3 linked regions of the Arabidopsis thaliana genome follow. The protein of the gene in region 1 interacts with the protein of each later gene in a pairwise test. Each region holds a gene or a part of one and is shown in the gene's direction. Other genes may lie near its edges.

Region 1 (5,494 bases):
CTTGTTTTCTTTGCAAAATCCTTTTATCAAAGCGTTATACGTGATTGCATTCGGTGTAACCCCGGTTTCAGACATATTCTTGAAAATCTCGAAGGCCTCGTCTGATTTTCCATGTGAGCAGAAACCCTTTATCATCGTATTGCAGCTTAACATTGTTCCTCCATAGCCATTTCTCAACATCTCATTGTAGAATGCTTCAACAAGCGAAATTTCGCCTCTTTTAAAATGCCCGTGTATCATCACATTGTAAGCGAACTCGTTTGGTCGCATCCCTTTCTTTATCATCTCAAACCAAAGCTTCCTCGCGCTCCCTAACCATCCCTTCTCACAGAATCCTCGAATCATCGTAGTATACACAACTCTATCAGGTGCATAGCCTTTATCTTTCAGATTCTTGAATATACAATAAGCCTCAAGCTGCTTCTTATTCATACACAACCCCTTTATAATCTTCTGGTATATATACATACTCGGGAAATGGTTCCACGCTATCATCGTATGAAGAACCTCCGACATACAAGCATAGTTCCCAATCTCACAGAATCCAGATATCAGTTTAGCATACACATACTGTCCTGGATCAAGCCCTTGTTTCAATCCCTGCTTCAAAAGCTCATAGCCTTCTGAAACATCCCCACCATCACACAAAGCTCGAATCAAACACCGAATCCTCTCTGAATCAAACTCAGATTCTACCATTTCCTTATGAAGTTCCCAAAACCGATCGAGTTTCCTCGCTTTCAAGCAACCTAATAAAACAGAATTGCAAGTCACAACTGAAGAACTAATTCCCATATCTTTCAGTACATTATACACTTCAATAGCTTCCTCTACCAACCCTTCTTCACTAAGACACTTCACGTATTGCTCTAATAACGTAGGCTCAGGTTTAAAGCCAGTGGTATCGAGAAAACTCTTCGCAGCTTTCACGGCTTTTCCATCCAAAAGGGCACCAAAGAGAATATTCAAAGAAACAGGACCAGGTGTGTAATCATAATTGGAACACAACCACCGGAAAAACCACAGAGAAAACAGAACATTGTTCTGAGATTTCAACAGTTCGCCGAAAAACAGAGGATCAGCGAAATCAAACGAAGGAAAATCAGATACCAGAGTTTGTTGCCATCTCTGTCTCTCTCTCATGATGGTAGACACAGTTTTAGCCATCTCCGTATAACTCACAGCCGATTTTTGCTCATCGGGCTTGGATTCACAATCACGAGACTCGACAGTTAGACTCCGTATCTGGGTATTAGGGTTCTTTCGAGTTCGGTTTCTAAAGAAGCTAATCAAATACGACTGACCTCTACTCATGGCGTATCACTAACTCAAAAAACTCGTGGGCAAACTCGAAATCAAGCTCCAAAGAGAGCCAGAAGCAAATTGTAGAAGAAAGGAGGTGAATTTTTTATTCCGGGAAAAGAAAGTCGAATACTTATCACCGGAACCCTAGATTTGGATCTTTCTGTGTCATTTCCAGGAGATGATGAAAAAGGTTTGGACTTTGGAGTAAATAAGAATAATTAAACAAAGTTTATTACAGCATCAAATATAATTTGTCAATAATGTTATGACGACATCAATTTTTAGATTGGTCTTGCTTTTAAAAAAAAAATAAAAAAGAGGTCAATTTGACGGATAAAAAAAGGTGCTTGCTTTGCTTTAGCTTCTTCTTCTTCTCTCTCTGTATCTATCTATCTATCTATCGTCTTCGCTGAAATCCCTAATTAATTTGGTTCCTACCACCCTCAATTTCCCGCGCAAAGAGAATGTGGAAGGTCATGAAATGAATCCTTTTAGTAAATTCCAATCGACGACATCTAGCTGAAAGTTTCAAGCTTTCTCGCAATCTCCGTCCTTTACCGATTCGTTTGGTCTTTGGTGGTCGCTTCGACGAGAATGGAGAGGTAGTTTTCTGATTTTTGTTTCTATTTATTTCCCTGAATTTCATATCTCCGTTCTTGTGTTCGTTGGCTTCAATTAGATAAGTGTACTTAGATTTCGAATCTTCTTGTAAAGCTTCAAGTTTTGAAAATTGTTATGTTTTCAATTGCAGTGTAGATACTGAGCTTACTAGTTTCAACAATATGGTTGCTAAATCATCATATCCTGTACGGATTTTGCATCACAACAATGGTATTAGTGAAGATGAAGAAGGAGGTTCAGGAGTTGAACCTTATGTGGGTCTAGAATTCGATACTGCAGAGGAAGCTCGTGAGTTCTACAACGCTTACGCTGCTAGGACGGGGTTTAAGGTTAGGACTGGTCAGTTGTATAGATCAAGAACTGATGGTACGGTTTCGTCTAGGAGGTTTGTTTGTTCGAAAGAAGGTTTTCAGCTGAATTCGAGAACTGGATGTACCGCGTTTATTCGTGTGCAGAGACGTGATACAGGGAAATGGGTTCTTGACCAGATACAAAAAGAGCATAACCATGAGCTTGGAGGTGAAGGTAGTGTTGAGGAAACGACTCCGCGACCTTCGAGAGCTCCAGCTCCTACAAAGCTAGGTGTTACTGTCAATCCACATAGACCCAAAATGAAAGTTGTTGATGAGTCTGATAGAGAAACACGGTCCTGCCCTGGTGGTTTTAAGCGGTTTAAAGGTGGTGGTGGTGAAGGAGAAGTGAGTGATGATCATCATCAAACACAGCAAGCTAAAGCGGTTACGGGTACTGAGCCGTATGCAGGGTTGGAGTTTGGTTCAGCTAATGAAGCGTGCCAGTTTTATCAGGCGTATGCGGAAGTTGTTGGGTTTAGAGTTCGTATAGGTCAGTTGTTTCGATCCAAAGTTGACGGTTCGATCACATCAAGACGGTTTGTTTGTTCAAGAGAAGGGTTTCAGCATCCTTCAAGAATGGGTTGTGGAGCTTACATGAGGATTAAAAGACAAGACTCTGGTGGTTGGATTGTTGACCGTCTCAATAAAGATCATAATCATGACCTTGAACCAGGGAAGAAGAATGACGCTGGTATGAAAAAGATACCGGACGATGGGACAGGAGGATTGGATTCTGTTGATCTTATTGAACTAAACGACTTCGGCAACAACCATATCAAGAAAACTCGAGAAAACAGGATTGGTAAAGAATGGTATCCGCTGCTTCTCGATTATTTCCAGTCTAGACAAACCGAAGACATGGGATTCTTTTACGCTGTCGAATTGGATGTCAATAATGGAAGTTGCATGAGCATTTTCTGGGCGGATAGCCGAGCAAGATTTGCTTGCAGTCAGTTTGGTGATTCCGTTGTTTTCGATACTTCATACAGAAAAGGAAGCTACTCTGTTCCGTTTGCTACTATCATCGGTTTTAACCATCATAGGCAACCCGTACTTCTTGGTTGTGCTATGGTTGCTGACGAGTCTAAAGAGGCTTTCTTATGGTTGTTCCAGACATGGCTTCGTGCCATGTCGGGTCGTCGTCCTAGATCCATTGTAGCTGATCAAGATTTGCCTATCCAGCAAGCTTTGGTCCAAGTCTTTCCCGGGGCACATCATCGGTACTCAGCTTGGCAAATTAGGGAAAAAGAGCGGGAAAACCTCATACCGTTTCCAAGCGAGTTTAAGTATGAATATGAGAAATGTATATACCAGACTCAGACAATAGTCGAGTTTGACTCAGTTTGGAGCGCTCTCATCAACAAATATGGTCTTAGAGACGATGTTTGGCTCAGAGAAATCTACGAACAACGAGAGAATTGGGTTCCCGCGTATCTAAGAGCAAGTTTCTTCGCTGGAATCCCAATAAACGGAACCATTGAGCCCTTTTTTGGTGCTTCACTTGACGCTCTAACGCCTCTCAGAGAATTCATTTCTCGATATGAACAAGCACTCGAGCAGAGAAGGGAAGAGGAAAGAAAAGAGGATTTCAATTCTTACAACTTGCAGCCGTTTCTACAGACAAAAGAACCGGTGGAAGAACAATGCAGAAGACTCTACACGCTTACCGTCTTCAGAATCTTCCAGAACGAGCTCGTCCAATCTTACAATTATCTCTGTTTAAAGACTTATGAAGAAGGAGCAATCAGTAGGTTCTTGGTGAGGAAATGTGGGAACGAGAGTGAGAAACACGCCGTGACTTTCAGTGCGTCGAATCTCAATTCGAGTTGCAGCTGTCAAATGTTTGAGCACGAAGGACTTCTGTGTCGACATATCTTAAAAGTGTTTAATCTGCTGGACATAAGAGAGCTCCCGTCTCGGTATATACTGCACCGATGGACCAAGAACGCAGAGTTTGGGTTTGTGCGTGATATGGAATCAGGCGTGAGTGCTCAGGATCTCAAGGCCTTGATGGTTTGGAGTTTGAGGGAAGCTGCTTCTAAGTACATAGAGTTTGGGACATCGTCTCTGGAGAAGTATAAGCTTGCTTATGAAATTATGCGTGAGGGTGGGAAGAAACTTTGTTGGCAGAGATGATGAACTCGGCTTGACCATGTAAGATCAATCTTCTTCATTGATGTCTGAAATTAAAGATCATCCGTATCATGTCTGAAAGTTGTTGAAGATTCTAGTGTGAGAAATGAAAGAACTAAAGAGGTTGTTATCGTTGCTGTAGGTGTTTTTGCTTTACCCTTGAAGAAGATAAAGTCTTGGTCGCCGTTACTTAATCTTAACCTTTTTGATAACATCGTCGATGCAAGAGGTGGTGGTGGAGGTGGGAGTTTTGTGGTCATTGTGGTTCCTAATGATAATCATCATTGTAATGACGACGCTTCCGGTGACATGTTTGTTCTCTTGTGTGTTTGTTTATGTTGCTTGTTCCAGAGGATCTGAGAAAGTGAGAACTGATAAGAATTAGGATTTTGTTATTTTGGGAGTGGGCGGGGAAGATGCAGATCATGTTTAGAGTATCAAATCGTTTGATGCTAAGTTGTTGCAAAGAATGTAATGTGTAATATTATTATCAATCTCTTTTCTTTTTTTTCTTCACACCAACTAATCATTTTACATGATCATAATAATCAAACAAAACAAAAGAATAAACACACACAAGACACAACACACAAATTACACGATCTGAAGCAAATGTAAAACCGCTTTTAAGAAGAATCATGAAACTCAAACTCTCCCAAGATGAGGCCTTTCTCCGGAGGCGACTGTTTCTCCGACTCCAGCATGAATAGCTCCGGTGCACAACAACTGAGTAGCACTCACAATTATAGTCAGAACTTCAAGAGTTCTCTGCAAAAAAGAATCAACAAAACACAAAACATGATAAGTATCCGTAGAAAAACAGTTTACAAATTCAGTTTCTTAGAATTAAATTTTAAATCAGAGAGTAAAAAGCTCACTAGATTGGCTTCGGTCCAGCCTATGTTGATCTCCTTGCAGGCCAATCTGTATCAACATCATATCGGTTTAGATTTGGTTTAAGGAGAATGAAAAGAAACTGAACCGGATTAAAACCGGTTTAATTTAATAAAAACCGGATGGTTAAGTTTGTTTACCCCATGGCGAGGAGAGTGAGAGACCAGGAGATTAGAGAGGAAGCCGCG
Region 2 (3,160 bases), 9.2 Mb from region 1:
TGCTGGTGATGGACATCCCCGTGAGTTGTGTGTGTGGGTTCTAGAGGATGTTGAGAAACAGGAATGGTCACAGTATATCTACTCCTTGCCGAAGATTAAGGTCAATCGGATTAGAAACGACAATATTTTCGCAATGTTTTTGCCTTTGACTATATAGAGGATCTTAGTATTGACGATTCGAAGCAACTCAAGTCAAAACCACAACAACGTCGACATGTAAAGAACAAGCAGGCAATCCTCCTGCAGAACAAGTACGATTTACTAGGTAACTCAGAGTGAGGATCTTATCTTGAAAGCCAAGCCAACGAGTCAAGCTATTTTGGTTAAGAGTGTTACTTGTCATTTACAGGTTACTTACGTGTGAGCTTTATCACCCTGTTGGCGTAGAGTGAGAGCAAACTAATATTTTTTTGTATGGTTATCAAAAGGCCTATGAGGTTTTACCTAGGTGAAGAGGGCTCTCTATATCCAATAACTTGATTGTTAAGAAACCGATGTGGTCAATGATTGAATAGTTGAATTGTCAGAATTGATGTTAAAACAAGAAAGTCATGTGATATGAATACCACTGTAGATTGATTAGAGATTTGTAGTTCATTTTCTGTTGAGATCTTATGAACAAAGATTTATGCTTTATTAAAACTAAACGAACACATCAAATATGCAAAAGAATTGGACACTTAGCTTCTTAAATTTGTTTTCTCTCAACCTTTTCAAGGTCTCATTCATAGGTCTGTTTATGCTTCTTCTGTTCTTCTTGATGAGATGCTTTCCTCTAGTACTAATTAAGTCCATCACGTAATATTTTTTTTTTTTTCTAACAACACTAAAAAAAAATTAAAGATAATATAAATTTGGATGGTTATAAAAGCCCATATGTTTCTTGGGTTTCAAAAGGTTAAATTTCAAAATCACCACCCTTCCCCTAACAGAATCTAATTACATAGGTCGAACTTTTAGCAAAATACGACGAAAATGAAGAATTACGCATGATTGCTATATGTGTCAATCCGACACTTCTATAAAATATTATATGCTTTAATTACTTTTTTCTAAATGTGTAATTTTACATGTATATATATTAAACCAAGCTTAATATAATAAAATATTTAAAAGATTTTAGATAGAAGTCATTTTCAAAAAGTGGTGGTACGGTATTAGAAAATGGACATTTTGAAATTTCTCCAAACGTTTACTATTTAAGATGAATAAATTATTAAAAAATGATTTAATTCATTCAACTCAAAATTGAAAAAAATTGACCAAATTATAAAAGTAGTTTGTTCAATTTATTTATCTACTATTTTGCAGAAAAATAAGTTGAAAGTTATTTTAAATTTCCAAAAAAAAAAACACAAATTTGTTTCCTAGCCATTGAGAGAAAGAAAAATCTCAATTATTCCCAGTCATTCATTTACACACAACCATTTTCCACCCCAAAAATTCAACCAAGTTCTCATAAATTTTAGATAGGTTTTAAAAAATAAGTTGAAAGATATTTGAAATTTCCACACAACAAAAAAAAAACAATTTGTTTCCTAGCCATTGAAAGAAAAGAAAAACTCAATTAATCCCAATCATTCATTTACAAAGCCATTTTTCACCCTAAGACTTCAACCAACTTCTAATAAATCTTAGACAGGCTTTAAAAAATAAGTTATTTAGATTTCGTTCTAAGTAGTTCAATAATTTTATAGGTGAAAAAATAGATCGTGTTTTTAAATAATAAATAAAGTTATATAAATACACGTTTTAGCTGCATGATTGTTAGATGCTTTTATATTGGTTTGACCCAAATGAAGAAACCATGGTCCACAATTGTCCCCCTACTAGTCTATATGAACACCTCTTCTCACCACACACACCAAACATTCATCACAATTCCCTAAATCCTACAATCTTTCTTTTCTTCCATCACCTAAGAGTAAACCCTACCTTGCGTCCCAAGTCTCCACCGATAATGCAACCATCCACCAACATTTTTAGCCTCCATGGTTGTCCACCTTCGTACCTTTCCCATATTCCTACATCCTCACCATTTTGCGGACAAAACCCTAATCCATTCTTCAGCTTCGAAACTGGCGTGAACACTTCACAGTTCATGAGTTTGATCAGCAGCAACAACTCGACCTCAGATGAAGCAGAAGAGAATCATAAGGAGATAATAAATGAGAGGAAGCAAAAGAGGAAGATATCTAACAGAGAATCGGCAAGAAGATCGCGTATGAGGAAGCAGAGACAAGTGGATGAGCTTTGGTCACAGGTGATGTGGCTTAGGGATGAGAATCATCAGCTGCTTCGTAAGCTTAACTGCGTTTTAGAGTCTCAAGAGAAGGTTATTGAAGAGAATGTTCAGCTCAAAGAGGAAACCACTGAGCTTAAGCAAATGATTAGTGATATGCAGCTTCAGAATCAGAGTCCTTTCTCTTGCATCAGAGACGACGACGACGTTGTATAGATGATTTTTATTTTTATTTTTTTGGGGCTCTAGTATGTATCAACAAATGTATATCCAGAGATCTGTCTCAGCTTAAGATTTAATTAAGACTCTAAATTAGTAATTGTTAAAGCAGAGTTCTTCAAACTTGTGTTGCCCGTGAATAGAAGTAAGAAATTGTTTCACAATTGTTTGCATAACAAACGATAAAAATTCACATTGCTGAAGTATAATTTTAAAAAAAATTACATGCATAAATATTTTTGCAAAATGTAAATACAAGCATCAATTACTAACAGTAGACTTTCTTCTTTTTCTCTTTAAAATTTTACGTTTATAATGACCAATTTTGTTCTTTCTAAATTGGCTTAAGTAGTGTCTTTGAAAAAAATATACACCAGCCGTAAACGGTTTATTTTCTTCCATTTCCATTTGCATTTTTATGTTGAAAAATTATTAAGAAAAGAATTAAGATTGTGATTAAAATAATAAGAATATGAAAAGCAAATACGTAAATCTAACGCAAACAAAAACAATTAAGACCTTACATGGTTGTGTACTTGTGTGTGAAACTCTCGTAAATCTAATTATGTCAAGCAAAGAAGAGCTTTTATCTGTAGTATTTTAGTACCTTGTATTTTATTTTATTTTAGTACCTTGTATTGGTAGTGCATGGACTGAGGTTTTGCAAGATTTGGCTTAGAAAGCAGTTAATGCTATTTT
Region 3 (3,843 bases), about 13 Mb from region 1:
GATTACAAATAAACATGCGCGCGTGGATATAACGCACTTGGTCAGTGCGTGTGGCACAAGTCAGAGTGAACACGTGGGACAGCCAGATCACACTGAAACACAACTCCGACATCTTGTCGGATCTTATGTAAAGCGTTGGGTCCCACTTTTCATAATATCTCTCACCACGAAACCCATCTTTTTGCTCTCAATTATTGTCGCTCATTGCCGTATCTCTTCATAATTTCACTATATACATGTCTACGTTAGGCGGAAATTATTAAATTGTTTTTGGAATTTTAGTTTACATGTTATTTTTTTCTAAATAAACATGAAATATATTTACAAAAGTATATCCAAACCATCATTTTTTTATTGTTTACATATACACTAATGACACTTTTATTTGGATTGTGAATTATGATTATGCAACGATCACTAGTAGTTTACTAGAACAATTAAGTTTACATGCTTCAGGCATTGTAAAACAACTATTTACAAAAACTGAAGTTAGTCTACAACTAGTTTTTGTGAAAAGAAAGGAATATTAGACGATAAAAAAGTAGGCAGCAGTTAAAGGAATCAAATAATTAACAAGTTAGCATTGATTGAGGCGGATGGTTACACATGATAAGGAGCAGGCGAGTGAGGAAACAACACAACACGCACGATCACGCTGTTATGACCCACATGCTCCTATCTCCATGTTACTGTACGCAAAGTGGTTATACATTTACACACACTTGACCAATATTGCTCACATTTAAATTTTTATTTCTAAAGGAAAAAGCACAAACATTTAAAGGTTTTACTGACGGAAGAAACGAAAAAAAGTAGTAGCTTTAAAATGTCATTGTTGATGAAAGTAGAAACCATGATGATGATATTTATGTGCAAATATTCATCTCACACGTATATCATTGGTTCATAACCGTTGGTTGGTCCACAACTTTGAACAAGTTCAGATTCTTTTTGATTGTGTTTTGTACCAACCACTCCAATTAGTCAATATTCCATTATATCCAACCTCAAATACTATTTTCCCTTTTCTCTTTAAAAAATATTTGGACAAATAATTGGCTACACTATTGGAGATTTGACTCAGCTCGGTATGCCGTAACTAATCAAGATACTATTTTCTATACTTTCTTTTATTGATATCCACATAATACATGTACTTTGAGTATAATGACGTGTACTTGATTAAGACAAAACGAAGTACGAGAATTATTGTATTTATCAACTTTGAGACATACTACATGATATGGATCATGAAAATTAACACAAGTAGTGCAAATTGCGTTATCCATATACAAAAAACATCGCACCTTGATGATTCACTTAATTGTAGATTACTTTCTCAGAGTGGTCCGGACATTTCTATTGGTTTTAAAGACATTGGCTTTAAATCTTCAGACACAAAACACATATACATGTGTACACTTGAAAACATATTGGCCATCTTATTTGTTTTGGACAAACTGCCATCTTATTATGCATGGGTTCTTGTAAGGAATAAACTAAAAATGTTTGTGAAAGAAAAAGAAAAACACAAATATTGAGAAAGTACAAAAAGAAAGACATGGCAAAGGCCAAAGGGGGGACACAAGTTGGAGATAAAGTAATACAAGTCCAAAAACAAAGAAACAATAATGATGGATTGTAATTAGCCACCTGACAAAATCTCTCATCATTCAAAGTACTATATTAATCCCCTCTCTTCTTCATTACCATCTCACATCTCTCTCTATTTCTCTTCCACAAAGAGTCCTAACTTCGAGTTGAAACAAACACCATTTCTCATCTCTATCTCAGAAAGAACAAACCATTTCGTGTTCTTTCTTTCTCTATTCTCATAAGGAAATATAATTCCTGAAACTGTTGAGTTCTTGTGAAAGGAAATAAAAAACATGATGATGGGCAAAGAAGATCTAGGTTTGAGCCTAAGCTTAGGGTTTTCACAAAATCACAATCCTCTTCAGATGAATCTGAATCCTAACTCTTCATTATCAAACAATCTCCAGAGACTCCCATGGAACCAAACATTCGATCCTACATCAGGTATATACTTAAATCTTCTCTGTTTTTTTTTTTAAAGAAACAGAACAGATTTCAGAATTGAAGTATGAGACTTTTCTTCGTTTCCAAGTAAAATAAAAACAGATCTCAAACTTAAAATTTGATTGCTCTTTGCAGATCTTCGCAAGATAGACGTGAACAGTTTTCCATCAACGGTTAACTGCGAGGAAGACACAGGAGTTTCGTCACCAAACAGTACGATCTCAAGCACCATTAGCGGGAAGAGAAGTGAGAGAGAAGGAATCTCCGGAACCGGCGTTGGCTCCGGCGACGATCACGACGAGATCACTCCGGATCGAGGGTACTCACGTGGAACCTCAGATGAAGAAGAAGACGGGGGCGAAACGTCGAGGAAGAAGCTCAGGTTATCAAAAGATCAGTCTGCTTTTCTCGAAGAGACTTTCAAAGAACACAACACTCTCAATCCCGTAAGTGTAAAAAAGTCAGAGGAATCAAATGATAATTATCGTAATTACTTTGAAATAACCAAGGTTATTATCATAATTTACAGAAACAGAAGCTAGCTTTGGCTAAGAAGCTGAACTTGACGGCAAGACAAGTGGAAGTGTGGTTCCAAAACAGAAGAGCTAGGTGAGATTTTCTTGTCTTAACACCAAAATTGTAAAATTACATTTATACCCCCTTGTGTAGAAGTTTTTACTTACAAGGTCCGATTTGGTTTTACAGAACCAAGTTAAAGCAAACGGAGGTAGATTGCGAATACTTGAAACGGTGCGTAGAGAAGCTAACGGAAGAGAACCGGAGACTTCAGAAAGAGGCTATGGAGCTTCGAACTCTCAAGCTGTCTCCACAATTCTACGGTCAGATGACTCCACCAACTACACTCATCATGTGTCCTTCGTGCGAGCGTGTGGGTGGCCCATCATCATCGAACCATCACCACAATCACAGGCCCGTTTCTATCAATCCGTGGGTTGCTTGTGCTGGTCAGGTGGCTCATGGGCTGAATTTTGAAGCCTTGCGTCCACGATCGTGATTTTTTATTTTAGTGGTGGGAAAAGGGTGTTTTGGTATTTTTCGTTATCGTTATATAGTCTATCTGTGTGGGGTCATTGTAATTTTGGATGATTGGCCTTCTCATGAACTAGTCCTATGTATGATGCAACCTTAAAAAGATTTAAATTAGCAAAAATTAGTTACAAACTTGCTATATTAACCAAAAATTATGAAACTATCTTTTTTTGATATCTTACAAGAGTTCTAAATTAAACCAAAAATTCACAAACGTCTTCTAGATAAATACACAGTTTCTGAGCATGGTATAAGTGTAGCTTATATGCAGTTGCTCAAAAAAGAAAAGAAAAAGAAGTGTAGCTTATTTGAAGTTCTTAACGAAATCATGAAATCTTGTGACCTAATCTGACTTCAATTGCTTTTCCGATTCAGATCTGACAAAGATGTATGAGCAATTCTTATTGGGTCTTAATGGGCTACATTATTATGTCGGCCCATACGTTTAGTCTTTCGTCGTCGTTTCCATCTGCGAAAGCGAAACTCTCCTATTTCTCTCACTCAAGTCTCATTCTTACGATTTTCTTAACGAAATCTTTCATCAATCGCTACACTTATAGCGACCCAGATGCCAAATTCATTGATTTCTCGTCTGGTATCTCCTTCATTACGATCTCAGCCCTCAAAAATCTCAGCTTTACGTTTTTTAACAACTGTCTCAGCCGCCGAGAGATTATACGGCCAGCTTCAAGGATGCACAAGTAATCTCGAGAAAGAATTAGCTTCGGCTAATGTACAATTAGACTCCTCTTG

What was found.
Region 2: the proteins of FRS12 (region 1) and bZIP43 interact in a two-hybrid assay, tested with the Arabidopsis thaliana proteins (one large-scale study listed by BioGRID).
Region 3: the proteins of FRS12 (region 1) and HAT2 interact in a two-hybrid assay, tested with the Arabidopsis thaliana proteins (one large-scale study listed by BioGRID).

What each region holds. Positions count from the first base shown.
Region 1 is NC_003076.8:6,328,657-6,334,150, forward strand, and holds FRS12 (FAR1-related sequence 12), read left to right. Parts: upstream 1-1,640; 5' UTR 1,641-1,899; coding exon 1,900-1,907; intron 1,908-2,056; coding exon 2,057-4,415; 3' UTR 4,416-4,433; intron 4,434-4,554; 3' UTR 4,555-4,994; downstream 4,995-5,494. Other genes in the region: AT5G18950 (Tetratricopeptide repeat (TPR)-like superfamily protein), read right to left, coding at 1-1,314; AT5G18970 (AWPM-19-like family protein), read right to left, coding at 5,058-5,180, 5,291-5,336, 5,447-5,494. UniProt on the Arabidopsis thaliana protein: Putative transcription activator involved in regulating light control of development.
Region 2 is NC_003076.8:15,537,603-15,540,762, reverse strand, and holds bZIP43 (basic leucine-zipper 43), read left to right. Parts: upstream 1-1,873; 5' UTR 1,874-1,960; coding exon 1,961-2,458; 3' UTR 2,459-2,622; downstream 2,623-3,160. Other genes in the region: AT5G38810 (F-box and associated interaction domains-containing protein), read left to right, coding at 1-157. UniProt on the Arabidopsis thaliana protein: Probable transcription factor involved in somatic embryogenesis. Acts as a positive regulator of BHLH109.
Region 3 is NC_003076.8:19,215,694-19,219,536, reverse strand, and holds HAT2 (Homeobox-leucine zipper protein 4 (HB-4) / HD-ZIP protein), read left to right. Parts: upstream 1-1,529; 5' UTR 1,530-1,889; coding exon 1,890-2,040; intron 2,041-2,175; coding exon 2,176-2,486; intron 2,487-2,569; coding exon 2,570-2,649; intron 2,650-2,745; coding exon 2,746-3,055; 3' UTR 3,056-3,266; downstream 3,267-3,843. Other genes in the region: AT5G47360 (Tetratricopeptide repeat (TPR)-like superfamily protein), read left to right, coding at 3,659-3,843. UniProt on the Arabidopsis thaliana protein: Probable transcription factor that plays a role in auxin-mediated morphogenesis. Negatively regulates lateral root elongation.